Linked DNA regions of Lepisosteus oculatus. The protein of the gene in region 2 purifies or fractionates together with the protein of the main gene of each other region. This does not show direct contact. Links are inferred from orthologs where the notes say so. Each region holds a gene or a part of one and is shown on either strand. Other genes may lie near its edges. The genes, in order: eno1a, sod1, hspe1 and park7.

What was found.
Region 1: the proteins of sod1 (region 2) and eno1a fractionate together in Homo sapiens (co-fractionation; 3 studies listed by BioGRID, with this or other methods). This does not show direct contact. The link is inferred for Lepisosteus oculatus from reciprocal best matches to the Homo sapiens genes SOD1 and ENO1.
Region 3: the proteins of sod1 (region 2) and hspe1 purify together in Homo sapiens (affinity purification with mass spectrometry; 3 studies listed by BioGRID, with this or other methods). This does not show direct contact. The link is inferred for Lepisosteus oculatus from reciprocal best matches to the Homo sapiens genes SOD1 and HSPE1.
Region 4: the proteins of sod1 (region 2) and park7 purify together in Homo sapiens (affinity purification with mass spectrometry; 4 studies listed by BioGRID and IntAct, with this or other methods). This does not show direct contact. The link is inferred for Lepisosteus oculatus from reciprocal best matches to the Homo sapiens genes SOD1 and PARK7.

Annotation. Positions count from the first base shown.
Region 1 is NC_090720.1:1,528,094-1,535,324, forward strand, and holds the start of eno1a (enolase 1a, (alpha)), read right to left. Parts: upstream 3,007-7,231; 5' UTR 2,896-3,006; intron 1-2,895. UniProt on the Homo sapiens protein: Glycolytic enzyme the catalyzes the conversion of 2-phosphoglycerate to phosphoenolpyruvate. In addition to glycolysis, involved in various processes such as growth control, hypoxia tolerance and allergic responses.
Region 2 is NC_090700.1:19,762,614-19,770,487, reverse strand, and holds the start of sod1 (superoxide dismutase [Cu-Zn]), read left to right. Parts: upstream 1-4,861; 5' UTR 4,862-4,957; coding exon 4,958-5,029; intron 5,030-6,358; coding exon 6,359-6,455; intron 6,456-7,123; coding exon 7,124-7,193; intron 7,194-7,874. UniProt on the Homo sapiens protein: Destroys radicals which are normally produced within the cells and which are toxic to biological systems.
Region 3 is NC_090707.1:7,076,921-7,084,622, reverse strand, and holds the start of hspe1 (10 kDa heat shock protein, mitochondrial), read right to left. Parts: upstream 3,013-7,702; 5' UTR 2,836-3,012; coding exon 2,833-2,835; intron 217-2,832; coding exon 61-216; intron 1-60. Other genes in the region: hspd1 (60 kDa heat shock protein, mitochondrial), read left to right, coding at 5,390-5,563, 6,051-6,386, 6,493-6,588, 7,133-7,226, 7,477-7,645. UniProt on the Homo sapiens protein: Co-chaperonin implicated in mitochondrial protein import and macromolecular assembly. Together with Hsp60, facilitates the correct folding of imported proteins.
Region 4 is NC_090720.1:6,610,804-6,617,983, forward strand, and holds the start of park7 (Parkinson disease protein 7 homolog), read left to right. Parts: upstream 1-4,177; 5' UTR 4,178-4,320; coding exon 4,321-4,410; intron 4,411-5,572; coding exon 5,573-5,674; intron 5,675-6,269; coding exon 6,270-6,329; intron 6,330-6,602; coding exon 6,603-6,672; intron 6,673-7,180. UniProt on the Homo sapiens protein: Multifunctional protein with controversial molecular function which plays an important role in cell protection against oxidative stress and cell death acting as oxidative stress sensor and redox-sensitive chaperone and protease.

The DNA.
Region 1 (7,231 bases), on a different chromosome or scaffold from region 2:
GTCTAACTTTGCCAAATGAGACACCTCAGCTTAGTCCCTACAGCAACACATCAGGCATCAAAACTGGGGCCCTTTAACCTTAAGGCACTAGGGGCCAGGGAGACTAAAGTGCTTATTGGTAAGGATACCGATTTAGTTTAGGCTTCGTGGGCTAATACCTTTCAAGCTCACAAAATGAGTCAGTGCTCAGATGTCAAGTGAGGCGCACCCAACCAATAAAAGCCTATTTAGACTTTTAGCGAGATGCCCTGCGCAGCACTCCCTCTCGATCCATTAATGTCTGCGCGATGGAGATGGACCACTGGAAAACTGCCCCCGGCTGTCCCTAGGAGCTAGCAGACCCGTGCTGTCCTTCCCTCGTCCACACGATCGAGTGGGACGGCTGTTTGAATGGAGCCACAGGCTTTTAGTCGAGTTCAGCTTTTGGCCAGCCGGGGTTAAAAACAAACAAACTTGCTATTCACAGCGAGTCTATTCTAGCCAAGGTGCTCTTGGTTACAAAGCTGTAGGACAGGGGTCTCTGCTCTCGGAGGAAACAGCCAGGAAGAGAGACTGTTAAACTGATCAAACTGCATCAGGATGGCTAAGAAATGCACTTCCGAGTAAAGAACAAAAAAATAAGCTGTTGCATAGTAAATCTAGTTTTTGAGTTAGAAGCCTACAAGAAGCTTATCTTTTGTACCCTGATCTGTACCCACGGCCAGTGCAGGTCTCCGTGTCAACATTACGGTGTCTGCAATGGGCTTTCCTTCACAGCCAAGACTTCAATATTCCTCACCAACGCGGACAGCCTGAGAGGCCTGTATATAACGACTCGCAGCCTCGGCAACAGGCCGCCCGTGCTATCGAAAAACTTATTTCCAGGACCAAGTGACTTATTTCCTTAAACGCCAATTGCGCTGCATGAATCAGACATCTGCAATTTCACAGGAAAGAGCATTAATCATGGCCAGTACTAACAGAGTCATAACCCCCAAAGCACATTTTCAGGTGCACCCTCTGTCCTTTGGGTTTTATAGGCATTTATAACTAGTGGTTAGGGTTGAAGCTTGTTATATCAACACTTAGCTTCACTTCAACTTAGCCAATTACCAGAAGGTCCTACAGCTTTCCTGGACCAGGATGGGAGATCCCCCCTACTCAATATGCAGCCATTCCAGTGCTCTCCAGTAGTGAGCAGTCCTGCTCATAGATAAGATAAGATCACTTTATGAGCCCATTTCTTGCACTGTCTTTTCACATACCCCAATTCGCAAACAACCGGGGGGTCGCAAGAACTGAGGGACACAGACTGGGGTCCCGTGATGTTAATGAAAATAAAACTACTGGGGTCTCCCAAACGGTGCTGGTGGAAAGCAGTCTGAGTGGCTGAGAGGACAGCCCTTTCACCGCAAGAAACGTGGTTTCTGCTTCACATTGAGGAATCAGACCGCTAGAGACCTGAGTGGGCGGGAGGGACGTGTCCCCATTTACTGAACGCGCCGAGCATTTCCAGTTCCTGGCACACTGCCTCTGGAGGCAACGTGGTTTTCAATGTCGATCTGGGTTTCGGGGTCACCCCCGAAAAGTCCACTCGACACCCCTTTTTTTCCTCTCAGACACGCACGATGTCGTGTTTTTTCCACCCCCACCCTCCCGGGTGGTGCCGGGGACTCCGCACAGGTGCGGCGCTCGCAGCGCCTCGGGGAGGACGTGGGTGTTGAGGGTGACCCCAAAACCCCGAAAACACGATTGACATTGGAACCGCTACCTCCGAAAGCGGCGTTGCCTCCAAAGGTCGTGTCCTGGGAGCTGGAAATACTCGGCTTGTTCAGTAAATCAGAAAGCGTCGCCCGTCCCCTCCAGCCGGGTGTGTTAAGCGAGGCAGCCCGGAAGGCCTCGAGTCTTATATTCGCTCCAATTATAGTGTTTCTGCGTCTCTAAACCGGGATCTCGTCTCTTTCCCTCCCCACCTCCAGAAGTGGTCTTTTTTTTAGGAAAAAAACCCCCAACAACAATTAAAAAAAATTAACAGGAGGAGGAGATGAAAGTTACGTTTTAAACGCATTAAAAAAACTCACGTAAAAAAAACGCTACAGACAGACTGGCGTTTCCCAGGAAGCAGAAAAAAAGCCAGTCTATTTAAAGTTCCGACACGGACAACATGGATGTCCCTGGGATTAAAGACCCGCTTGAGAAGCGTTTTACTCCCGAGATACAGTTAACCAGGAACTACGAGCTACAGAGCAGAGTTCAGAACGACAGGAAAATTGCACAATGATATCAAACGTTGGTCTTGTAACAGAATGATCTCAGCATTTCTATACGGCTTTGTCAAGAGAGGAAACGGCGACCGCTTAGCGACAGACCCGTTTCAAACCGCCGGCAGCCCCGATATGACGCTCTCCGCTGGGGCTGAACTTGAACCCGATACCCCTAATTGAATTACACCCCCGGCGGTGCACCGAGCGAACCCTTCACGCTCCGCCCCCCAGACGGGCAAAACCTTTAAGATAATTAACAGGTTTAAAGAGAAATCGCCTAAAATGGGCGATTAAAACCTTCCAACTAAAATGACAAAACTTCCTCTCTGACACAATGTACTGCCGGGCCCCCTATTAATTAGCTGCAGCCCCATAGCGTCTCGACACCCGCTTACCTCCCGGAGCTTTCCAGGGGAAAGCAGGGTATAGAGAGAGACACTGATTCAGGTCACAGCATGTGAATTAATTCGGAACTTTCGGGAAATCAAAAATATTAAAGACGACGCGTGCATAGAAAGCGCACGAGATGGGGAACCCCCCCCCCCACACACACACACACCCCAGAAACGAATAAAACAGAGCTTACAAAACGGGGCCCGCTCATGATTAAACTGGGCTAAAGGCTTTATACGTGGTGCTGAGCCGCTCTTACCTGACTGTGCGGCGGTGAAGGAGAAGGAGAAGGACAGGGGCTCGCGCTGGCTGGCAGACGGAGAGAAGCAGGGCTCGCGCAGGGCAGCGCTATCAGGAAGAGGGCTCGCGCCTGATTGGCTCCTGCGGGGCTCACGCGACACGCCCGCAACTCGGGGTGGGGGGGGGAGAGGAGGAGGAGGAGGAGGAGGAGGCCGGTGCACGCGAGGCTGGAAGTTTCCACCGAGCGCAGCGGCGCCCGCCGGGCGGATGCGGAACACGTTACTGTTACCGTCTGCGTCAGATTTCTTTTTAAAAAGTCGCGTTTTCTTTCCAAACGAAACGAACGAAGCCCCCACTTTAGCGTCCCCTCGTTTCGCAGCATCTCCACAGGCCGAGGTGAAACCCGTTATCGGAAGCAATGCACGTATTTGTAACATTAAAAAAACCGCAGATAACGCCTGGAGCCGAACTGGGGCCGCCGTCGTGAGCTTTGTCGGGGCTCACCGCCTGTTGCGCACGTGGGTAGGGGATGGGTCCTTTATTTCGGGGTGCTGCACGGGTTTCAAGGATGTAACCAGATCCCAGGATGAAAGGTGCTTCTCCAGGGACAGTCCCGACCCAGCCCCCCCCCCGCTCGGGATGCGGTGGCGCAGTGAGGACTACGTGCCGGGAATCAGCAACGCTTTCCGCGCGACGGCGCTGCGTCACTGCACAGGGAGCAGACCGCCGCCCGAGCCAGGCTTTCCACGGCCGATTCACGATTCAGTCATCCCCAAACCACTCAGGGTGACCCGCAGATTGATACAGAACAGTCATTCTCCTTCGCCAGACACCCGCCGCAGCCCCGAGTGCGAGCTGACATTTTCCTCATCTTTATTTTCTCTTTACGTAGCCGAACACATAACATAGGTGCACATACACATGCTATAATACACACGGGAGATAGGCTGAGTGCCCCCATTATTCTTACACCCGAAGAAGGGTCCACAGCCGAAACGTTGTGTTTTCTTTCTTCTCCTTTCGGCAGGGAATAAACCCATGACCTGTTCCATGATGCATATCACTCGCGCATTTTCTCTGTCACGATCATTAGAAAAACGGTTCAAGAATAAGAAGGCGAGGGGAGATTCTCAAGCCCTGTAAAACTAATGCTATAATAAAGAGATACGTCAGTGATGAAATATTCTTCTTGTTCCTTTTTTTTAAAATAAATGAATACGTCCCAAGTCTAGGGGCGTGGGTGTCAGCCTTGGAGCTGTTGCGGTCTGGGCTCGACTGTGGGGTCGGGGCTCCTTCTGCGTGGAGTCCGCGTGGTCCTCCGGCATTCACGTGGGGTTTCCAGCGAGAGGCGGGCGGCCACGAACGAGGCGCCGTCTCCTCCCTTTCCCTGTCCCAGCCGGTAATAAACCCTCACCTGGTCCCCTCCAACAAGCCTGACGCAGCTCCCTGCCCCGACCTCTCTCACCCGGGGGGTCTGCGGCTTTCTGGTGGCGGGTGGGCGCCGGTTCAGCGCTTTCGGGGTGAACCCACGCTGCCGTGAACTGAGGGACAGACAGCTCCCGGGCCCCGTGTGTGGAGACGCCGAGGGGCTGCCTGGTGTGCTAGCGAGCAATGCGGAGGGATGGCGCTTCTGCAAACAGGGAACTGGAATCAGAAAACGCGCAAACCTTGTCTTTCCTAACGAGCTCGGCTCCGGGCGGAGAGACCTGTTACCCAATACCTGCAGCTTGCATAATTTATAACCGTGTTCGCCTCGGCGGCGTGTCTCGCTCACAGGCGCCCTTCATCAGAGCGATTGGAAGACAAAATGTCACTTTTTTTAGGTTTTTTTTCCGTCTCGGCAGGCAGGCGATGATGAGCAGATCTGCGCAAACAGCAGCACGGAATGGAGGACAGGGGTGTCCGGTCCTGATCCCGGCAGGCCCGTGTGTCTGGGTTTCGGTCCAGCTCGGCTAAACCGGCTGGTCCCTGGCTTAACCGGGCCGACCCACACCAGGGCCAGTCTTCCCAGAAGCCAATTAAGCTACCAGCATGTCTTTGGACGGACTGTGGGAGGAAACCGGAGCGCCTACAGGAAAACCACACGAACCCGGGGAGAACATGCAGACTCCACACAGACAGCACCCCAGGGCTGGAATTCAACCCTGGGGCCCAGCACTGCGGGGCAGCAATGCTATCCTCAATGTCCCTTCGGGATCAATAAAGTCTTGTCTATCTAACAACTGCACCACCCTGCTGCCCTTTTCGGTACCGACCTGTAGACATATATAAACACATTTGTAACGCACAAAATCTGAACAGAAATTGTAACCGTGCACAAGCATTCCTGAACACGGGGCTGATTCATTCTCAAAACGTCCTTTTTTTCCGCCATTGAATGATCAGCGGCAGTCATCCACCCCCCCACCCCCCCTCGAGGCCCTGTTGCCATGGCGAGGGCCCGTCCCCCGTCACCATGGCAGCCGGAGGAGTGCAGAACGGAGCATCAGCAATGGCGGACGCGCGCGGTGACCTTGAGGACGGCGGGACGCGGGAGCGCGCCGCCTGGTGGTTCGCCTGCGCCACGTCACGGACAGAGGCGGAAGAAAATGCGTTTCCAGGCAGGAACCCACATCATGACGTCCCAGGGCTTTCTGAGGGTAGAACAGTAGTCAGAAAATGATTCACTGAGATATTAGGAAGCAGTCGTGTTTTATTGAGACAGTTGTTCCATTCATTCTAACTTAACTTTGAATGAAACTCGTTTTGAGGCTTCAGAAGTAAGAACAACTACTGCCTGAATAAAAGAGCCCTTGTTTACTCTGGAGTCATTCCCAGCGTGTGTTCTAATATTAATGCACTCAATTAAAAAAACGCACACACACAATTGCAGCGGCACCCAATCTTTGCTCTCTTTGCCAGCTGTAGAAGACTCTTCCAGAGAAGTGGGGCACTGTTTGTATTAGTGTACCAGCATCCTGGTCTGGTCAGCCTGGACTGCATCAGCCCCACCACAGCACTGACACAAGCTTTCTGAGTCACTGCCATGTGATGGCTTCATTGTTCCAGCACGCCTACTCTGTAATCCGTTAAAAAGAAAAAAACAGTTTGAAGTTTTGTTTGCCTTGGAAGTTTAATGAAAGATGCCCATGGCTGTCTTGTGAGGGCAGGGGAGCTGACCCCAGTGCCTGAACTCTGAAGTCTGTCTGGGCTCTGGCCAATCAGACCAGGCTCTGCTGGGTACTGGGACCGCTGGTAGATAGCGGCTGCTGTGTGTCACCCAGCTGGGTCTCCTCCCAGGTGCAGAACACTTTGGGCTGCCAGGCGCAATCAGTCGTAAAGCTACTATTCATTTTTATTTATTCTCTACAAGGCTGGAAGCAAAATATTAGTTTTTTCCTCTCACCCAGTTCCAACCAGGCCAGCCCACTATTTCTTTCTCAAAGGTTTCAGTGAGGGTCTACACTGCCTCCTACTGGTCAGACGAAGAAGTGCAGCATCAGGGTCTCACTGTTCTGCCAGTGCCAACACCGCACAGCCCGGAGTTTCAGTGTACTTCTACGTCAGGGGGAAGCTCTTTTTTTTTTTTGAATGGAGTGTTCCATTAATTTAGTTCCCGAGGCAATATTTGCAAATAAGTTATGCCTCAGTGGTGCGTTTCTCACATTTGCCACCTCGTTTGAAAAAAGAAATAGTCATGTTCAATTCAGGCGTGGGGCTGGAAGACAAATACACGGCGAGAGGTGATCTATAAATCTATACCCGAGCCAGCCATGCCTGCGGCCCGACTCAAGTTTGTAAATAATTAATTTTATTGACTCCGGAAAACCCACACATTGCATAAAGGTTGATCCTTCAACCGATCAATACCCCCCTCCCCTTCCCAAATCAATTTCCATTCTAGACCAAATGAAAGCAGTGACCTTTGTCACCAGATGCAGGCTGAACATGGGTGGATATGACAAGATCACTCTATTGGCCACATACAATGTCTTGCAATAGGAGTTTGTCTTTTCGCAGACCCCAGCATGCTCTCCATGAGACACACAGATGGGAAGAGAAGCTGGGGGTCAGAGCACAGGGTCAGCCATTGTACAGCACCCCTGGAGCAGTTGGGGGTAAGGGCCTTGCTCTGGGGCCCTCCTCTACTGGCCGCGGGATTTGAACCAGCAACGTTCCAGCCACAGGCACAGATCCTGAGCCACAGAGCCACCACTCCGCCGCGGGGTGTCTGGGACCGTGAACAGTCGTGCATGCGACAGTACCGCATCTAGATGCTAGGAGGCATCCGAAAAGGCTCTCTGCGGTTAGAAGCAGAAGGGAACCCCGATACCCTGATTTGCTCACACAGGCCATTTCAGCCTCATGGTATTCAT
Region 2 (7,874 bases):
TTATATATATATCACAGAAAAATGCAGTATCCAAAGTAACTGTTTAATTGCTGGGGAAATGCTTTATTGATTTTTTTCCAACATATGCTGTATACATAAAAATTACAAATGTTTTGATTTGAGGCCGCCCTTCATCTTTGCTATACTAATTCCTGGTTTACAGTTACCAGTCAATGTCACGATTGTGTCATTAAAAAGGTAAGTTTTGTATTAATGCCTCTTGTTGAGTGGAGAATAATTGTCTGCCTTTCCCCCCACGTTCCATAAAGCGGAGATGTTACCATTATTTCCCATTATTATTTCCATTTCTCCTGTGTGAGAAATACACTATGCTCTTTCCAAAGGAGTCTGCATTATAAAAGGAAAGCGAGATAACGTCTTATGCTGATTGCTAAAAAAACTGACTGTCTCAACATCAACCTGAAAATGAAAACCAAGCAGAAATGGCTAGTCTTTTTATGCAGTAAGAAAACACCTTTTAGGAATGTCTGCTCTTCATAGCTAAATGTAAAAATGACATTGAAAAGGATGCACTACTTATACCAATCTACTAATTATGCATTGTTTGAAAACAATTTTACCCCTAAATATGAGTGGGGTAGATGTAAATCAAACTGTAGATGATCTGTGTACAATCCTAGTTATTGAGATAGACCGTGTGTGCTTAAAAAAAACTACATTCTGTTGCTTTAAATCAGTGATAGATGTTCCAATGCAGCTAAAGATTTTATTTCTTAAAGATCTGTTACATTACAATCTGAGCCATTTAACTGCTCTAGACCGCTCGCAGTTTCTTTTGCTGTTTCAGTTCTCAATATACAAAGACTTTGTAATAAAAAACAGCTAATCTAAACTGAGGAACTCCAATATTATTATCATAGAAAATTGAATGCATTTTTATATTTGTATCATATAAAGCTGAAGCTGCTTTTTTATATTTTATGCTTTGTTGATTAGATTCTCATACTATATTACAAGACAGTGGTGATATAATTACAGTGAAAGACTCACGCATTTAGAAATACGTTGTTTATGGAGGTTGTATTTGGAAGGTGATGAATATTCTGATGTTGAGGGTGGTCTGGGAGCTGGAGTGAACTTTGCCATACTATATATATTAGACTGCCAGGCTTAATAACCTGTATCAATTTACGGTATCTTATTTTTCCAATGCAAGGTTCTGCATCAGGTCTTTGAGCCAATGAAGCTGGCTGGGTGGGACAGACGTCCTTCACTTAGTTGAAATTAAGTATCTGGCATAGCAAAGACAAAGGTATTTGAGCAGGTATAACCCATAGCATATTTGTAAAATGACCCCAGTTATTATTTTTTTTGTCACTTCAGAATAGGTTAAATCTATATAGTATGTTCTAATTTATTCCTGAAGTAGAACATGCTGACTGCTGATAAATACCTCTTATGTACCCTAAGTCTTAAATGCAGGATCATATTAGTAATTTACTACTTCGAAGAGGTAATAAATTCGTAGCCAGCCATTGTATAGGGCTTGCCCATCATGTGCTGAATGCTTCCATCTCATGCTTGTGTAAACAGCATATAAAGAACAAATTCTTGTCTAATAATCTAATGCAATTCCCACTCATCCCTTTTTAAATGAGCATGTGCAAGTACTGGCTAAAGAGTGATACATATACATATTGAGCTTCAAGCATGTAGGTCATTCTTCCATTTTTCTCTTTCACTTTTAAGTTGTCTTCTTAATCTTAACAGAAATCTTCAGAGTATTATGCTAGATATGGTATAGAAGAATATTTTGAATACATAATTTTGTAAAAGCACAGTGACACAGTGGTTAGCATTGCTGCCTTTCACTGTTGGGGCTCTGGGTTCAACTCCAGACTTGGGGTGCTATCTGTCTAGAGTCTGCATGTTCTCCCCATGTTTGCATGGGTTTTTGCCAGGTGATCTGGTTTCCTCCCAGTCTAAAGACGTTAGTTGGCTTTTGGGAAAATTGGCCCTGAATGTGAATATTTGTTTGCCTGTGTTAGACTGTGATCAACTGGCACCTTCTCCTGTCAACAGCTCCCTACCTGTTGCTTGCTGGGATAGGCTCTAGCTCCCTTACAACCCTGTATTGGATTAAGTTGTTAGAAAGCCAATGGATGGAATATTTTCTACACTGAAATGTTTTCCAGTACAAGGAAGGGTGGAGGACCATGCACACTGTCTTCTTACACATGCACTGTCAGAGGCATTTATTCCTTATTCACCTCAGGCCTAGCACACAACCAAAGTAAAAGTATGATCAGCTGATGGGGCAATATTGCTGTCTCTGACATCACTGCAATTGTTCACTAGACAAGTGAAAGGGGGTAGGTGCTGTGATGCAAGCTAAGGATAACTGCCTGCATTTGTACAGCACTTTTCATTCCAAAGAATCCCAAAGCCAAGTACATAAAGGAGGGGGATACCACTTCATCCTCCACTGAAGTGCAGCAGCCACCTGGATAACAGCTATTATGCGCCAACATTTCCACTACAGAGTAGATCAGATACAAAAACGTATGCGCATTATGCATTCAGATTATCAGTATCACCAGACATCTTGATGCTCATGTCACAGAGTGAAAAAGTGGGTGGGGGGTGGGGGCCACAGGTGTCAGGGGCTGTTTGAATGCCAGAGCCTACCTTAGGGTTGATGTTTTTTTTCTTCTTGTCCTTTGAGCTTCTTCACATTGATCAAAGACCCTTCTTGTGTTGACACTCATTATTAACACACAAGTCACAGGTGATGTGTGGGATTGGGGACAGGTTTAACTAGGCCTCAGACTGAGACTGGGGTACTAGAAAAGGATACGAATACACAGTGCATTGTTCCCCTTATCCGTCATCATACACCCAGTTCATCAGTGAACCCTGAGTAGTTAATTCTACACCTGCCCAAGACATCGAAGGAACTCTCCCTCCTGAGATCCAGTCATGAGCCCTGGTTAGGAGGGAAGAATTAAGGGGGACAAAGAGTGCAGTGTTGGACCCAGAAGAGATCTCAAGATACTAGGGACTCCACAGAGAGAAGTGGTAGAAGGCCCCAACATCTCCCTCACACAAAACTGGACTTGGGAACAAACCGCGCAAGAGGTGGAGTATGAGGGAGCACATTGTTCAGGACAACTGGAACTGAAGATGCCTAAGACCACTGAAAAACTGCACAAAGTTTCTTCACTGTGGCCGAAGGAGGCACACCAGGTCATTGACTGCAGCTGATTTTAGAGACATGATGTAGGATGACTGTCTTTTTAGATCATATTTAACTTCTCCACTCAACTGCTTCATAATACATTTAAACATCAGTTTCCATAAAAGAAAGAGTAGTTGATAAATTCAACATTGTAAGATACCTAGCAACTAATGGTGTCTAACAATCAGAAAAGCATTTGAATTCTTGAATTCACCTGGTCCAGTTATGAGCACTTGGAACAAGACTTTTACATGTATTTTAATGGGGATTTAGTGTTGCTTTTACAAGTTTTTGCCAACGAGCAGATATTTTGCAACTGGGACTGTAAAGCAAGGGATGAGCATACTCATTTATTTGGCTGAAACTTTTATCCAAAGTAACTTACATTTGCACATAATTGTATAGCTGGATATTTTACTGGATCAATTTTGGGTGAAATACTTTGCTCAAGGGTAGACCACTAGTACCTTACTTGTGATTTTGTAACCTTCCAATCACATGTCCAGTACACAAACTACTGCTCCACACTACTGCCTCTTTAACCAAATGATCATGCAGAGGCTGAACAACCTCTTATGCTTATCAGCTTATGTTTTTCAAGACTGGCTGGGATGAATTCAGGACATGTGGATAAGACAACCAGTAAACTGCTGATATCTGTCACAGTTGGATACGTTCTAGACTGAAGTTTGGGCAATAGAATCTTTAAGACTCTGAATTGTATTGAATTTGAATTCAAGTCTTGAAGACAGAGAAAATGATAGTTTCTGGTGGCACACTTCTTGCTTGACCTTCCTGTAATACAATGCTGACAAAAACCTAACTCTGATTCTTCTTCAGATTTGAAACTGACCAGACTAAGACTCCAATGAATGCAATTACATTCAAGAGAGCACAAGAGGATTGTGAACACACTGTATGAAAGAAAACTAGCAGAGTGTGCTGAGTCACTCCAGCAAACAGGAAGTCTTTAACTGGCTCCTTGGATCAAAGCCACTAACAGCCAAGAAGGTGAACAGCCTCTGTCATACTTTGCCACTGTAAATGGAGGATTTAATTTCAAAGTACATTGTGTGTATTATTCAGGTGCAGTTTTTCTATTAAAACAACATTCTTTCTGGAAGGATATGGATGTAGTAAGCATTCTATCCTACCTCCTTTGTTAGAGCCATGGTGAGCCTATATCACTTTTCCCTATAGAGGGTGCACCATTGTTGGCCAGGACGGATTATAAAAATCATATAGCTAACACGTAAGTCTCATGCATAATCGACTGCATCTTCAGTTCAGTATTTTTTTATTCTGATTAAAGAAGACGGGTTTCTTATTTACAGTGGTAGGGAGTTCTTTTACACTGATTACACAAGCAGGAAATTAAAAAAAAAATGCCGCTCGAGAGGAGTGCATGGACAGTTTTTGTTCTTCTCAGCACAGACATAGCACATGCAGTGTACGCCCCCTGCACTGTTGTTTTCGACATTTGTTTTTACTTATTGCTCTATTTGAATGACAGTTTGTTTTTATTATGGTATATTAGTCAGTTATCTGCTAAGTTAATGTTTTTCACAACTTGATTATTAACACCCACTCGAACCTCCAGCAGCGTACCTGCCGCGCAACCTCCGGGCATGCGCGCAGGCGGAGCCTGTGTTCTGACTGTGATTGGGTGCGCGCTGGATTGGGTCGTAGGCTGCGGCATTTTAGCAAGACACTACGGACTGTTGTAGGGTGTGTGTTTGCTAATTGTGTTTAGGCAACATGGTGTTGAAGGCAGTTTGTGTTCTGAAAGGCAGCGGTGAAGTCTCGGGGACTGTCCACTTTGAGCAGCAGGTATTCGCATTGTTAATACACGGATGGTTATTTATTTGATCGCAAGGCCTTAGGTAACTAGGATGAGACCCTGTTTAGTCGCTTGAACTTCAATATCTGCGTCCTCTTTTGAACGAAGTTCAAGTTCTTTGAATACCAGTTGTCGCTTGTTCGTTTTCAGTAGAAAGGCCGTGTTTGTAATACATTTTTTTTAATTGTTCTGTGCACACCTTTCTTGTCATGGCTTGTTTCCGATGCACGTAAAAACTTCTCTTGAAGCTTGTTCACCGAAGCGGTGCTATGTTCTAAAGCCTGACAGGTATAGACGTTGTGAGGTGTAGTATTGCAATTTCTGTATAAAATGATTATAATTCTACTTCTTGCGTGTCGTTAGGTGTATGGCGTTATGCCAACTGTGTTATAATGCACATTGGTTGCATAACTCACTTCGGGGCAAAGAGCATTGCTAGCGGTTGAAGCTGGTAAGTTGAGGCTGCTTCGCTTTTATTGTGAAGCAGCTTAAGAGGTGCACCTAGAATATCAGAAATGTAGCGTTTCTGCTGAGTCATTTTCTTCTTTAAAGCGTAAGAGCCTGGTTTTGTACGCTTTCTAATGTCCGTGGTGCATCTCCACAAGGAGCGAAGCGAGTTTTGTTTTCATTTATGCAGCTGTACCTGTAAGGTTATTTGTTTTTGCATACTTTTTGGTGCAATGAACACAATGATTAAAGTGTATTGCTCTTCAACACTATACTGTGATGCCGCACGAAAATAGCGCCATGAAATTCTGCTTTCGAATCTACTGCGCATGATCACAAATATATATTTTTTAAATGTTTAAAAGTTGCATTGTCATTATTATCATATGCTGTCAAGACAAATCTTGTATTTCGTGATATCAAGCTTCAATTAGCCAAAGTAAGGCGGCACTCTAAAATAAAACGATATCCCCTTATTTCAAAACCCAAGACAGTTGCAGAGGCAGGGAAAAGAACTGAAGTAATATTTACTGTTTTTATTCTTTTATTTAGTGAAGAAATAACAAAAATGGATGGATTCGAGTTAGATTCCACATGATAATAACGAGACCAAGAAATGTGATTATTTTAAATGTTTAATGTTCTTTTGTGTAGATCTGTGCCTTTCATTGATAGCTCCTTATTTATATCCATTCTCAACTTTTATATTTTTGACGAAGTGTAGTACACGTGTATTCAATTGTTTTTTTCCATAGACTTAGTATATGGTGCTGGTGTAGATTTTGTGGCTTAAACCTGAGATCTCTAAACGTTTTTCATTTGTGAGGAAAGCAGACCTGTTTCATGCAGTCTTCGTTTTTTTGTGCTGATAGAATGGTGATGCACCAGTAAAAGTGACTGGGAAGATTTCTGGTCTGACTCCGGGAGATCACGGATTTCATGTGCATGCCTTTGGAGATAACACAAATGGTAGGTGTTAAAGACCCTGCGTCTCTTTCATAGAAGCAGATTTACTGCTGAGACACTACAAACCTGATTTGCACTCTTTGTGTCACTACTGTCTCTGGTATACATTTCCTTTATTTGCAGAAAACATTTGTCATTTTGTTGAAAATATTTCAGTTTTTAAACTGAAGAGTATCCAGTGTCTTACAAAAGTTTTGATCAAAAGATCTGTATCGACCCTCATTCAGGTAGTGAATTTCAAGCAAAGATTCAAGCATGAAGACTGAGAAGCTTTCCATACTCGAACGTAAAGTTGTAGAAAGTCACAGATCAGAAGAAGAGAGTATAAAAACTCTTCAAGGACCCTTTATATAGCAGCCATATCACCCTGCAACTCACAACTGGCAACCCACTGAAGCTAAGCAGGTGTGAGCCTGGTCAGTACCTGGATGGGAGACCTCCTGGGAAAAACTAAGTTTGCTGCTGGAAGAGGTGTTAGTGGGGCGTGCTGTCAGTCATGGTGGTGGCACTATTATGTTATAGTTCAGCCACTTAATCAGCGAGGAGTGGGAAGCTTGTCAAGACTGAAGGAAACATAGATGGAGCAAAATACTGGCAAATGGTTGCTGGCATGTAGCTCCACCAAGTGAACCATCAGGGCCTCCTTGAATAACTTCTGTTTAACTTTCCAGGCTGTGTAAGTGCTGGGCCTCACTATAATCCACACAACAAAACCCATGGAGGCCCTCGCGATGAAAACAGGTGAGTCTAAGAATGGGAAGAAATCCAGGGTATCAGTTTGTTCTTATGTTTTTTATAAAAACATCAGGACAGTCCAGTTTTGTTATTCATCTTTTGTAATTGGTGCTGTTCTTGAAACTTTTTGTTTTGACATTAAGCTTGAAGATTTCTCATTACTAGGGAAATTTCATGTAGATGAGGTCATTAAGGGAGTTTTAATAATGTAAAAGTGCATGTGCTTTACTGAAAAATGTAACTACATGTGGGATTAAATATGTGACCATGGATAAAACTTCTGGGAGAAAAAAAGATAGTTTTTGTATGTGTATATTTTTGTTTCCCCTGCTTTTCTGTGAGTTTCAGAATGAGTGACCATGTAATAATGCAACTTTTCATTCAGATTTTATTTCTTAATGTCACTTTTTTTTAAAGTAAAAGCATAAAAAAGTAACTGGGTTTAATTGAAGTTGGGGGGGGTGTTCCTAGTAAATTTGTTCCCCAAATCAGACAATGACTTGCATGAAGTAAATAATAGCTCCATTCTAATACTGGGAATCTGAGCTTTAATCATATAACATAACCCACGCAACCTGTTGAGCAGTTCCTGGTGCCATGATAGAGAAGCTGATCTTGCTTTTGTTGGCTTTTGCACATAACTGTTGCTTGTGATGACCTTGAGAGACCTGTGCCATATTTGTAGGC
Region 3 (7,702 bases), on a different chromosome or scaffold from region 2:
AAGCAGCGCTACTTTCATGCGTGCGGACCGGGACCGCCCCAGCAGGACCCCCGAAATCACCTTGTTGACACTCCCGGGCCCCACCGCCACCACGGTGGCCTGCAGCACCTTCCCCTGCGACTTCTCGGGCAGCATGATCCCGCCCTTGGAGACGGTCTCCGCGGCCAAGCGCTCCACCAGCACGCGGTCAAACATCGGGAGGAACTTCCTGAACGCCTGAGGGTCCGAGAGAGAGGGGGGGAGAGATGAGACTAGCGCCATTCCCAGAAATAACACATCCAATCGCAGAATTCCCACTCCCACAGGAATCAGAAAAGGGAAGAAACTCAAGAGAGCTGCAACACAGTGTGTGATCTGATGACATTGAGCCTGTCTCTCAATAATAATAATAATAATAATAATAATAATAATAATAATACAGTGTGTGATCTCCTGTCCCAGCCTGAGGAGCAGACACTGTCTCTCAATATTATTATTATTATTATTATTATTATTGAGAGACAGGCTCACTGTCTGTTCCTCAGGCTTGGACAGATCACTCAGATCACTCACTGTATTAATAATAATAATAAAAATAATTATACAGTGTGTGATCTCCAGTTCCAGCCTGAGGAACAGACAGTGAGCCCGTCTCTCAATAATAATAATAATAATAATAATAATAATAATAAATAGTGTGTGATCTCCTGTCCCAGCCTGAGGAACAGACAGTGAGCCTGTCTCTCAATAAAGTTTTATATGTTTAATGCAAATGTCCAATAATTAATGTCTGCAAATGGTATGTTAATTGTATCTGGTTTGGCAACACTAATTCACTGGTCACACCACTGATGCCCTGCGACTCCGAGAGAGAAGAGAGGCAGGAGAGAGAGCATCCTCGTCCCGAGTGGGAAAGCAACGAGCGCAGGCCACTCTGACCCCAAGGGCGGAAGTCCTGCTGTCCTGCCACCAGGGGGCAGAGCACACTCCCTCTCCCCCAGAGGCCCAGGGCATGGAGGGAAGTCCTGCACGTGTTCACGCCTTTACTTCACTGCGAGCGGTACATCTGGGTGGCGAAGCAGAGAGATGCCCAGGAGGAGGAGCAGAAACATCGAGTTGCTCAGCTACTCCTCCGAAGGTGCCGACGCAGAGGTGTGAACAACAGGTTAAAAACGAGGATGAAACCACGATCTGGGCATCACGGGTGCCGAGACCCGCGACAACAACAGCTTTGTCACTCGCGATGAGTCGGCAGAAGGAGCCGAGGAATTCGGGAGCAAAGACAGGGGAAGGAGCCGGCTGAGGAATGTCGCAGAGCGCCCGAGGTCTCGCAGCTCAGACAGATAAAGCGGCGTGTGATCAGGGATCCACGAGGTCCTGTCCCTGGCCCGCGCGGAGGAGGAGGAGGAGGAGGAGGGCTGTGCGCGCGACCTTGGATCAAGGTCACTTCAAGGGCACGGACAACAGCGGAGCAGGGGGGAGGGGCGCCCCGTCTGCCAACAGCCTGTGAGCTCTGTAGGGAATTAATTCCCAACGCGTGGTCAAGGCAGCCAGACAGGAAGCATCGTTAATGATTGCCGTCAGCAGAGCACAGGGCAGGGAACATTGATCCTGCCAGAGACACGGGCCTCCCCCTCCTCTCCTGCACACTAGCACCTCATCCCAGAAGTGCAATGGGGTCACCAAGGCGACATGCACCTTCAGATGCAAATTGCACCACTGGAACTGGCAAGTCGTGTTTTAGTAAAAATCACAGGTTTTAAAAATGTCCACCCAGAAAGTTCTGCCCCTCTCCGGGGGTGTTAAGACTTAGCCCAGCCTCAGACTTTCTGTGCTGCGTGAGAGCACATCTGGTTAACTAATTACTTGATTGAAGAGATCATCGTAACTCCCTGTAACTACTGGAGACTGGGAAGGCTTCAATTAAAGGCCTAGATGTGCGACTATCTCGGAAAGAGCAAGGAGGTCACTTCCGAGACGAGCGGGACCTCCAAAACGCCGAGTTCACGTTTCATATCTGCCCCGGATGTGATTGAAGATAAACCGGAGCCACAGTTTGTTCTTCCGTGTAGCAACTTGCGTGATTACAAGGGCACGCGTGCCGAGCCGGCTGACACACGTACGGCAGCTATCAAGAAGACTTTTAAACACACGCATTTACAAAGAATGAACAAAAAAAAACGTATTTATTCACAAAATTAAGTTCCCTTTTTTAAAAATTGTGTTCTTAAAGCCATCTTTGAGAGCAACACTTCTATTTAGACGTCTGTCGATGGTCTACGGGGTTCACACATGCATGCGTTTTACAGGGACGTAACAACTAAACGCCTCCGCCGAGGAAGCAGAGGGCGGACTTTAAAGGCCGGATTCTGTCAGGTCACCTAGGAAGGAACACGGAAAATAATCCAAAAGGAAAACGTTAATGCCAAAGGCAAGACAGCCCGCCGGGTTGCTCACTAGCACCGGTCTGAGGGCCCCGACCTTGACCCCCGGGTCTCTGTCGGTTCGGTAAAGCCCGAATTCCGTCTCCGGTGTCGCCGGAGTCCCCCGCCCGCCCGCCCGCCGGCCCAGTCCGTGCGGCTGCAGGTGTTAAAAACCTGCGACCGCGCCGATCCTATCGTCAGTATGGAGCAGTATCCCCACCTCTGCGCCCAGTGAGAGCCCGCTTTATACCAAGTGTCCAAGGGACCTGCTTTTACAGCGCGCTCACCAGCGTGCTGCTCAGCTTACACGGAGTAGAAAGTACTAGAGAAGGCGCATCGGAGCTTCTGATCTGGATATCCAGACATTTTAAAATTGCTCCATTGCAGGCCGCCCTACGGCACGGCCTGCGTACGGAGCAGAGAGTCTTACCATGCCGACGTGTCTCTATGAACGTTTCTACACACAGCAGCGTGGTTCCACCGCGACCCTCCTGTGTCCTGCGCTCGGGGCTTCTCCACGCGTGAGACTTGGCTTTCTCTCACACACCAGAATCGCCGCCCCACGTGAAGAAATACGGGCGCCCGACAGCGCATGCGCGCCCCCCCCGAGCCGGTTCCTCCCCCTGTCCCGGGTTCCAGAGCCTTCTGGAACCTTCCCGACACGATCCCCCGCGCGCCCTGCAGCCAGCGCGCAAACCGACAGCCGCCCCCGCCTCCTGTGAGTGCATACAGCGGAATTACTGCTTCATACACGGGTGCAATGTGTTTCAAAGCGATGCATTTGGCAGCAGAGCGTGCATCTCCGCCCCCCCCGCCATTGCATCAAAATTACACAACATTCACCTTCGACCCCTCGAACTTTTTTTCCTCCTCCAATGGCGTCCGAGAAGTTTCTGGAAATCGCCTGCCCCGGAACGAGCATGGAGGTTCCCCCCCCTGGCGCGCTCTATCCCACCTGCGTTTAAAGTTACGTTCCCGGAGCCGTGTAACGCGACGGGCGGGCCCCAATGAGGTGTGTGTGTGTGGGGGGGTCTTCACCGCCACAGTCTTGCGCGCCCCCCCCCAGCGGGGCGAGTGTGTGCAGTTATACAGGTTTCGGGGCGGCCCCCAGCGTTACCCGGATGGAGATGCCCATGTGCGCCGCTCAGAGGCCGGAGAGGAGGCGCTTTTAGGCAGCAGCGCAGCTCGCCGTCTTACTTCTTCTGACAGAGCCCACTGCGCGGCGGTCGTCTGTTCCCTCCTGACCTCATCCCATCCACCCCGACAGTAAGTACCCGGGCTCCCCTTCCTCGCTCGCTCGCCGCTGGAGCACGGTTCCGCACGCCGCTCCTGGGGAGCCTGTTCAGTCTCTGCCGTGACGGAGCGGAGCGCTACAGCTCGGTTCGAGCCGACTGAAGGCGGCGGGCGGGCGTGCGTGCGTGCCTGCTCGCGTGTCTGCAGCGGTGGTTCGCTCGGCTGTGGCCGTGAACCTCCTCATTTCGTGTGGGCCTGCCCTTGGCCGCTTCGGGTGTAACTCGTCCGCTTTTCTGTGCCTATTTGTGTTTTCCACTTTACACCCCGAGGTGAGGGATTGGGGGTGGCTCGTTTGTCCTTCTGTAGTTTTCCGGCTGGACTGGACATGAATGATGAGCGCTTGCATCTGTAACGGACGCTGTGGAGGGGGGAGAGATTCTGCTGTCTGCCCGCTGCTGCGCTGCACATCTCGAATATCGCCCAGCACGGCGTTAAGCGCCTGCCGCGTGAAACGGGCGAGCCGAGCGGTTCTGCGGAACCGTGTAGTGCTGTGAGAGCTCCAGTCTGTTCTCGTCAGCGTCTGACTGAACCTCGCCATCCCAGTCAGAGACGGCTACGTCTCTACTGCTAGAAGGATAATGAACTGCATGTATTCGGAGAAGTCGGGGGGTTTTATGTTGGAATTAACGTTTTCAAAGATTGCGCTTTGTTAAGGAGGTTATTGTACTCTTCTCATTAAGACAGTCAACTTAAAAACACATCACTGGATAGTGATTAGTCGTAAGCTCTGCTACGTCTTGCGCTGTCCAGATAGTAGCTTCCACCGCGAGCAGGGATGTCCTCGTGAGCGGGGGGCGCCGATGAAGCTCAGTTCTAGCGAGCTCCGCGTGCGCCGCTGCGCACCGGCACGCTCTCGACGCAGCCACGGCTTTGACCTTGTGGTGCGTGACCCCCGCACGCACGCACGCGGGCGGAAGGACGGACCTTCATGCCGAAAAGACGCCGTGAAAGATTAGGCGCTGTCACAAGACTGAGGGGTGGTTTGTAGTGCGTTTACTTGAAGTGGATTTGATTGTTGTTGTTTTTTTTTTGGCTTCTTGTCTGTAAACAGTTAGGACCCCCCCCACACGGTCTTTATAAAGAACAGTTCTGCGTTCCGAGCCGCCCTATCCCCCACATCGACTTCTAGCTTTTAAAATTACACCTGCTGAAAGTGTAATTACACAGTAAAATAAGAGGGCGTCGGGTCTGTCCTGGCGCAGGAGGCGCTCAAGGAGTCGTGGTTGAGTAATCTGCGGCCCGCTTCGAGCCTATTACCCCGGTCGTGCATTTACAGTGCATTGGCCTTGTGTGCCTTCACGGTTAAGAGCTCTGATAATCCGGCAGTCGCCACACAGCTGTCTAATCGCCACAGATTCCCTTCTCCCGGCGGTGGGTTTTCGAGGGAAGGCCGTGTCCTTACAGGTACGACCTTGGCCCTGCGTGTCCGGGGTGTTAGTGCTGAAGCAGGCCCCTGCGCCTGCTCAGGCTGTGTTGCCATGGAGACAGGCCGGGCAGGGTGAGCTTGCAGTGCAGCCCCGCGCCGTGGCAGAAGTGGGGTGAGCGTGCGCGTCTCGGGGTACACAGCTGGGGTCTGGAGCCGGAACAGGTCCAGGCCAAGGCGCCCCCCCCCCTGTTGCTCCTTGGAAAGCAAGATCCGCGGGATCGCCGTCTGTCCGCCGCTCAGGCCCGTCTCTGCTGCACCCCTGCAGGAAATGCTGCGCTTGCCCACCGTGATGAGACGGATGCGCCCGGCGTGCCGAGCGCTGGCGCCCCACCTGACGCGCTGCTACGCCAAGGACGTGAAGTTCGGCGCCGACGCCCGCGCCCTCATGCTGCAGGGCGTCGACCTGCTGGCTGACGCCGTCGCCGTCACCATGGGGCCCAAGGTAGGGGTGGGAAGAGGAGAGGGGGCGGGTAGGACACCTGGTGGGAGAGGGGGGGGTAGGACACCTTGTGGGAGAGGAGCAGGGGGGTAGGACACCTGGTGGGGGGTGCAGGGAGAGGAGCAGGGGGTGGGGACACCTGGCAGGAGAGGGGTCGCAAGAGGAGAGGGGGCGGGTAGGACACCTGGTGGGGGAGGAGGGGGGTAGGACACCTTGTGGGGGGGGCAGGGAGAGGAGCAGGGGGTGGGGACACCTGGCAGGAGAGGGGTCGGAAGAGGAGGAGGAGGGGGTGGGACACCTGGTGTGTGTGCGTGTGTGTGTGTGATACGCATTGTTTGGCAGTGACGCGTGTACACGTTTGTGTGCAGCAGGAAATGTGTAGCGGTGGGTTGTTTGTGTATGGATTGTGGGTTTGAAGCATGTTGTGCAGAGATGGATGCCTGAGGCCTGAGATTCTGTCCTGGTTCGAGCGCCTTGTGCCTTCGTGCAGGGTCGCACGGTCATCATCGAGCAGAGCTGGGGGAGCCCCAAGGTCACCAAGGACGGGGTGACGGTGGCCAAAAGCATCGACCTGAAGGACAAGTACAAGAACATCGGCGCCAAGCTGGTGCAGGACGTTGCCAACAACACCAACGAGGAGGCCGGCGACGGCACCACCACCGCCACCGTGCTGGCCCGCGCCATCGCCAAGGAGGGCTTCGACACCATCAGCAAAGGCGCCAACCCCGTGGAGATCCGGCGCGGGGTCATGCTGGCCGTGGACACGGTCATCACCGAGCTCAAGAAGCTCTCCAAGCCCGTCACCACGCCCGAGGAGATCGCCCAGGTAAGGCCTTGCGTGAGGGAAGGGGTGCGCCTCGTTGCCCCCAGGGTAAAAGGGAGGGGTACCCCGCTTGACGGCCCTCTCTCTCTCTTTCCTGGCCTTCTTTCAGGTGGCCACCATCTCTGCCAACGGGGACAGCGAGATCGGCAACATCATCTCCGACGCCATGAAGAAAGTGGGGCGCAAGGGGGTCATCACCGTCAAGGTGGGTTGCAGGGGGCTTGTTTTGTAGGGGGCGGTGGGGCGGGGCATCACTCTGAGCTCCATGCCCGGGTTCGATCCAAGTAAATGTCCATTAGGTCCATTAGGAACTGTCCAGTGGGAACTGAATTGGCCACAGCACTGGCCACTGGAAAGAATGATGCTCTCAATCCAGATCTGGAGAGCAACAGCGTGTTGCTCAGTTGTTCACCTTCCCCTGAAGTGTAAGAGTTGATGTATTAAAGAGCCTGGAAATCCTGCAGGAATAGGCAGAGGAAGAGTAGCGGATCGGGGTAGTTCGACAGCAGTGTTCCTGGCTTCTGCATTGCTGTTGCTCTAAAGGAGCTGGTGAAGTGAGACGGGGGGGGGGGGGGTGACTGCTTTTCCACTAGCCTGTGGCTCTCGAGTTGGGAGAAGTGCTCCGGGAATCCGTGTCTGGTGATCTGGGAAGCAGCCTGTCGCGGGTCTTTCCTGGGAGAGAGGTGTGTGAGCTGTGTGATGGGTCCGGTGTGCCGGCTGATGCCGTGTTCTTGGATGTGTGTTTTCAGGATGGTAAGACTCTGCACGACGAGCTGGAGATCATTGAGGGTCTGAAGTTCGACCGTGGGTACATCTCCCCGTACTTCATCAACACTGCCAAAGGTGAGGGCGCTCTGCCAGGCCCTGGCCCTACCCTGTCCCCGCCACACTTCCTCTCTGCAAGGTGGCTTCTGTTTGAGAACTGTAAACTGTTTGTTTTGGGCTGTTTTCTCTTTCCTCGTGGCCTTTCTTTTGAGCGTCTTTCGTAATAATAAGTAGAAACGAAACGGGAGTCATCGGGGAGCCCATCCGCACAGCGACAGAAACGCTCGTGTGTGTTCTTATCAATGTCCTGTCTCTCTGCCCCCCCCAGGTCAGAAGTGCGAGTTCCAGGATGCCTATCTCCTCCTCAGTGAGAAGAAGATCTCCAGTGTCCAGTCCATCGTCCCGGCTCTCGAGATCGCCAACCAGCACCGCAAGCCCCTGGTCATCGTGGCCGAGGATGTGGACGGGGAGGCTCTCAGCACGCTGGTGCTCAACAGGTCCGTCTGTCCACCCCTCTCTTGCTCCCGAGTGTCGGTCTCTCGGGTCGTTAGGGC
Region 4 (7,180 bases), on a different chromosome or scaffold from region 2:
ACGCTCTCGCACAAATACATACCCACACTGAAAAAAATTAAATCAGAAAACATGTTTTGTAGTTCTGCCAGCAGTAGATCAAAGAGGCTGACACTTGTTAATATCCGTTTGTTTTTTTTTTACTTGTAAGCGTTAAATCTGGTTTAAATTAGCACCCTTAAGCACTGTGGTTGGTGGGACATGAATTTGGGAAGGATCCAAGAGTGTCAGTGGCGATTTGCGCTCACATTTTAAACAGCCAGTGTGGCACGTAAAAACAGCTCTCCCAGTCTGCTGTCACTTGTGGAGGTGAGTGAGCCAGCCGAAAGCAGACAGCCAGTATTAATGGCTATTTAATGAATCGGTGCTCTGTTGGTACGGACACATAGTGGCTCTCCTGTTCAGTCTAATAATCATTTTCCTCATCTGCATTCAATTATAATCTCACCTGTTCATTCGAATATCATTTTCCTTTTCCCGGAATTTAGCAATTCCTAGCCATATTTCATTCTGTAATGTAATAATGTTAATACCCAATTAAATTCAATTCTAATGCGCTCGTGAATGAATATTCGGAGCTGTTTAAGCTGTTGAAGCAGCGGTATCCACCTGTCAGCCTCCCCTCTGTGAGCTTCCACAGGTGTGATCCCTGCCAGCCGGCCTCGCCTGTCCCTGCGGTGTGCCGACTGACGATCGGCCTGACCTGATGGCCGCTGCGATGCGTTTACTCCAGGTCTCCCCAGCAGACAGACGGAGCACGCCTGCCCCATTCCCTCTCCTCCGTCCCCATCGCCTGTGTTTGAGACTCTGAGGCAGGGTGGGCTGGCCAGACTGTGTGACATGCTCTGAGGGGGTTGCACCTGGCCGCAGAAGCATGTTGTGTGAACCAGCCCTGCCCGGCTGTTTGACCCCTGGCTGCTGGCTCTTAAAGCACCTGGAAGACCTCATCGCCAACTGCCAACAAGGAAGTACTCCCTTTACCATGTGCCACTTCAGGAGGCGTGCCCATTAGAGTACGCTAGCTTAGTGACCGAGAGGAAGGCATTTAACCCCTACTTCTCTCTTAGTGGACTGTAGCATACTGGGCCATGGATCTCTTCTTGATAGCCTTGATATCCAACATTCCAGATTTGAATGGTAAAGTCATAACTTCAGCACGCGCTGATCTGAGACAGCCGAATCGGAGAGGGGAGGGAATTTATCTCTGACCCTGTTTGGGGCTTTAAATTTCAATCTGGGAACTGTAAAGAAACGCACACATCCGGGATCTGAGTATATGGGGTTATGGGGAGGTGTACATGCAAGGAAGCATGGTGTTTATGTCCAGGGTGGCTGGGATGGCCACCTCTCCTCCACCGCTACGCCCCTGACGTGATCTACAGGGAGGGGTCGAGGTAGCCTCCTCTGTCTCCTCAGGGAGGTTGAGGGAGGAAGGAAAAAATGGCAGCCTTGTGGTTAAAAATAGGACGTGGAGGATATTTTCTTTTGGGTCTTAGCAGTAGCTACAGGCTGTAAAATTAAATTAAATTATACTGTGGCTATGTTTGTTTGCACACTACAGGTGCCCTTAGCTAAAGGCCTTCTACCTAGTCAGCAGAGCAGATTAGCTGTAACCAGTATTGGTACAATAAGTCGGTGAGCTGCTTTGTTGAAACAGCAACATTAATCGTGAAAACGGTACAGGGCTAAGAAGAAGAAAAGCCTTTTGAAAGCAATTACTCTTTAAGAGGTCTTTGTTTATTCTCCGCCTGCCTTTGGAAGAGGTTTTCCTGCATGACAACAACAAAGAGCGTCGGGGAAGAAAGTTGGATATTTAGGAAGAAGCGCCCGCTACGCCTCATTTAAGTTTGCAGAATCGCACAGATGGCTCAGCGGGCAAATTTGCATCGTCAGTGTTTCAGACTTTAATCCCTATTCTTACGAGGTTACCTGGTTTACAAGCGAGTTTAATAAGCATTCCCTCAGTATGATCATATGCTCACTATAAGCTTCTTATGTAAAGAATAAAAAATAAATAAATGCCTGTTTAGGGAAAATAGCTAGTGTACGACTGCGGCAGGCTCAGTGATCCCGGTTACATATTTTGGTAATCGTTACTGCCTTCTGGATTTGCAAACAGGCACGTAGAAAATAGGCCGGCTACAGCACCCCAAATCTTTATTTAATCCGTTGTTTCATTGGGCTCTTTTAAGTTGCACAAATATGAAAATGCAACTGCAGAATGCACACTGGTGCATTAAATTGGGACAAGTGCCTGCATATTAAATCTCCAAACCATTCACGTTCTGATTTACATGAAAATATAATTCCCTGGTGTCCGTTTATGACTCGCTTATGCAGCTGAGCTATTTGCACGGCGTAGCTTGTAAGGAAGCAGACTTCCTGGGCCCAGTCGGTGCACTTACCCCAATAATTCAGACAGGGATTCAAATTCCCACCAGTATATTGTAATTGACTCATTGAATTGTGAGTATAAAAAATATTGTCTGCGACATACAGGGTTCGCGTAAAGTTTTCGGTCCTATTGGAACAACCATATTGTCAGAACAAGTGTCGGGATCACAGCTGTACAAGGCTTCACATCTTCTCTTCTCAGCATGGAATAAATCTATTTTCTTGTTCCTTTGCCGACTCCGCATGCTGACGCAGCTATCCACCTGAACTGTGGTCAGAACAGATTACTACAGAGCATTGAAATCTAGCACTTACACAAATAGGATCTATCCTGACCCTTACGAGACGTTCTGAACGTGGACGTGATCAATGGACAAGAATCCACGGAGAACAATTTCCTATTGAAAATCACGGTGCACACTGAGAGTGCGGTTACCTATCTACAGGGATCCACATTGTGCACTATGCGCCCCCCTGTGGACACTGGTGATGTTAGCGCTTTTTGGTGCGTTCATTTGTTGTTCATGGGTTGTGCCATCTGAAAGTTATTGAGAGCGCGTTCACATCGCTCACATCTTGAAGAATAAAAAAACAGTGCATTTCAAAATATATTTTGAATAATATTAATATATTTCAAATATTGACAAACTAAGACCAATGGAAGTACTAAATCAATTGGACTTAAATCAAGTAAAAGATTCTGAGGGTACTTTATTTTAAGTATAGTACTTCAATTATATTTTGAACTTGAACATGAACTTTATTGCCATATGTAACCGGTACTGGTACAATGGAATTCTTACTAACAGAAAGTCTCTCGATCATAAAACAAGTGTAAAAAAACAAAACAAAGTGCAAACAGTTTAATGCACTCTATAGGGACTTTTAATATATTTGCTGGAAATATCCTAAGAAAATATCTATGCTTGTAGGTCTACTGTAATTTAACATTAAATACACACCAATACAGCTGCCACCACGTCTACTACTAACCTAGGAATGGTAAATAATGACAAAATATCCCAAATCTTCTTTTTAAGTATAAAGTACAGCACAAGGAACGTGGAGAAAACGTAATCTATAACTAAACTAATTACAGTTTAAGCAACCTGTATTTGAATATAGTTGACTACATTGAACATTTCTGACAAGGTGCTGATCGCAACATTTTAAAAGGCGCAAAAGTGATAATAAGTGTGACACACCCCACACAAAACTGAACTTTTTGCGGGCTCTCACAAAGGCGCCCGTGCAGAAGCGTCTTTTACACAAGAGGCTGGAGATGTCTGAGGGAAAACGGTACAGCGCAGTACTGGGTGAATCTGTATAGGCACAGACGTCCTGCACTTTTAGCTTTTTTGGAATATGTCACATCCTTCAGAGATTCTACATCAGCATTTAGAAAAAGTGTTCACATCGCAGAATTTAATGGATATATATTGTTTCTGGTATTAAACCATGTGGACATGTGCCCTTAACACCTCTGAAGAAGAATAGCAAATATCTATATTTAGCATCTATATACAGTACATATAAAGAAAATGTGTTAATGTCATGGACCACATAGGATGCTTCTTCATCACTAAGGTGACACCGCCCTCTAGTGGCTGAAGAAGTGTCACACCTGCCAACAGCAGCTCATACTGAGAAGCTTCCCATTTCTTCATTTCGTTATGCAAGTGTTGTTTTCATTTATAGTTAAGTATGGACACGAAATAATGATGGTAATAAAGCTTTAAGTACACGCCTTGTGGATTAGGATCAAGAACGCGCCTCATAAAATTGAGCCCCCGTGGCATTTCGGTCGCGCTGTTTGTCCCCGAGCCTTTGCCGTAGCTAGGGAAGTGTGTGTGTGTGGACACTGTTGAGTTTCAGGTCGTCTGCAAGTGCCTTTTGTTCACAACCTCAATCTAAGAAGTTTGCTTTGGCTCTTCAGAGTTCACACAAATGGCAGCCAAGCGGGCTCTGGTTATCCTGTCGAAGGGTGCTGAGGAGATGGAGACGGTTATCCCGGTGGACATCATGCGCAGAGCCGGGGTCTGTACTGTATGCGGCAGTTTGACACGCTTAAACTTTACCTCAGCATAGGTGGTGCATGAAAACAACGTGCTATCCTCAGGCCTAATGATGCGCATTCCTTCTGTTCTGCAGAATAAGAGAACTATTTTTTAGTTATTGCTTGTATATGATATATTCTTGCTTCCACAAAAGACATAACTGTGTTTGTACTGAAAGAAATTACGAAATAAACCGCCAGCGTTGCAGCAGATGTTTGAGTATGAATCGGTGCCTTGAAACGGTCATCCACGGTAATAACGACGAATAATCGGCGTTACGCTATCTACAAGGCTGCGATGCATTTTTGTCTGCTGCTATGAAGTCTTCATTTTTAACAAGTGATTGGAATTATTAATACGTTTAATACTACAAAGCACTCAAAAACAAGGACACCGAGTTAATAGTAAAGGCCGTAGTCTTAGGACGATTAGATTTTGAAAGATGAATATGTATGCGAGAGCTCGGCATTTGCACATTGCAGTTGACTACAGTACAATGGTACTGTAATTTTCATTTACTTGTCAGTGACTTGAATATCACTGTGCATCTTCATGGGATAGTTCTGGAAAGAGCAATGTCTCTTAACCAGTCTGCAGGCACGGTGCAAAAGTGGCGTGAAAGTGATCCAATAAACTGAAGAGAGGCGGGGTCAGTGACGCGGAATGTGATAAAGATAGATCTGGGGTCTACTGTAAATGTCAGTTAGCTGCAGGGATGTTCTTGGGTAGTTCATTTCTAATTAAAATGACTTCTGTAATATTGCGAAGGCTGCCTGATTGAGGCAGAACTGTAATGTTAGGCGAAACAAGCCCCGTCCATCACTGGGATGCGTTCTCTAAGGCTCAGAGACCTTAAGGAGCTCCTGAGTCCAGGCTCAGTGATCAGAATGGGACGCCGTCCCACAAGGCCTCATCTGCAAGCGTGTGTAAAGCTGGCCTCATGCCCAACAGTGTTTGAAAGCATTGCTAGCCTCTGACTTTACCTTTGCACGTAATTTTATGTGTTTGTTAGTGATGCCATTCTTTTGATCACCGGCATATGCATACAAAGAGGGTTGAAATGAATCAGGCCAGTAAAGGATTTCTGGGCACCGTGTGAGGCCAGAAACCCATCGACCTGACGGAGGGCGCTTGTTCCGCAGGTGAGCGTGACGCTGGCCGGCCTGTCGGGGAAGGAGCCCGTGCAGTGCAGCCGAGACGTGCTCATCTGCCCTGATGCCAGCCTGGAGGAAGCCCGCGCGCAGGTCCGAGCAGCAGTGTCCCATACGCGTGCGCGCCATGTGTTGAAAGGAGTTTGTGTTTAAATGCCGTCAAATTCAAGTTTGTAGTTCTGAACCCAGGCTAAACTCTGCATTTGACCACCAGTTTACCCACAGTAAAACACTGCGTGTTCCTTTCTGGCAAACGGTTAAAAGAAACAACACTGGTGGGCCACAATCATCAATATTATTGCAGACTTGAGGAATACAAGGGCTGGGCTTTATTAGGATTTATTGATGGATTCGGCAAGGATTAATTTAAGATTTATGTGGTACCATTTTTTTTTCTTTAAGTGGTGCTTTTGTAGGTTACTTTGCACTTTTTGTAGGTTAACTTGCGCACTTGTTGACAATGGCACCTGTGTCAGCCTAGCGGAAGATTCAGGAGTAAAGGCTGAAGTATTAACTCTGCTCTCCTCACACGGTGGGTCACATTGGGCATTTTGTGCTTCAAATTATTTTGCATACAGCAGATGGATTAACGAAGGCTGCCCGTCCGTTTGTAGAGAGGTGTTCTGTGGCGATGTGTGAAAAAGCAGGGCTGTATCGGCAGTGATGTGGCCTGCCCTTTTCTCCCCAGGGCCCGTACGATGTGGTGGTTTTACCCGGAGGAAACCTGGGGGCGCAGAATCTGTCTGAGGTAAGAGCAGGACCGCAGCACAGGGCCCTAGTTTCCACTAAAACTGTGGGGGAGTGGGACAGGTGAATAGGAACGGAAAAGAGTTACTTAATAGAAACAAAAACCTAATTCTGTCACATAGTGTGGAGTTAAACAGCTGCCCCTAATGGCATCAAGGTGTAATTGTATTTATGTAACATGGGAATCCTATGAGAGGCGCAGAACTCTACTTTTCATTACTGCGCATACGAGTGTTGAATTGTGTGGCCAGACTCCTTGTGTTTTTTCTTCCAGTCTCCAGTGGTGAAAGACGTGCTGAAGGACCAGGAAGGCAGGAAGGGGCTGATTGCTGCCATCTGTGCAGGTATCCCCAGATATCGCGGCTCATTCAGGGCACGCAGAGGTGTGAGCGGGGGCTCATTCAGGGCACGCAGAGGTGTGAGCGGGGGCTCATTCAGGGCACGCAGAGGTGTGAGCGGGGGCTCATTCAGAAAGCACAGAGGGCTACACAATCTTGTCCTGTTAACAGATGCATGTGCCAGTCCATTCACTGGCTCTTTCTGGAGAGAGCTGTATGTCAAAGAATTTAAAAATCCTAGACAAATAGGAAGACTTAAGAAAAACGCACAAAGAGGTCATTTAGACCACTTTTGCACGATGCTGTAAAATTTCAAACTATGTATTTGAAATAGAGTAATAAGTTTGAAAAAAGAAGGGCATCTTAAACGTGATCAGTTTTTAAAAGTTTTTTAAATTTGCTGACAGATTTTGGAAATCCCAAACGTGCGCATCACCAAATATTCCCTGCTGGCAGCCTAACAATGCATCGATACAGAGGTGTTTCTATTCCATCTGCCCCACTTTCACTGGCA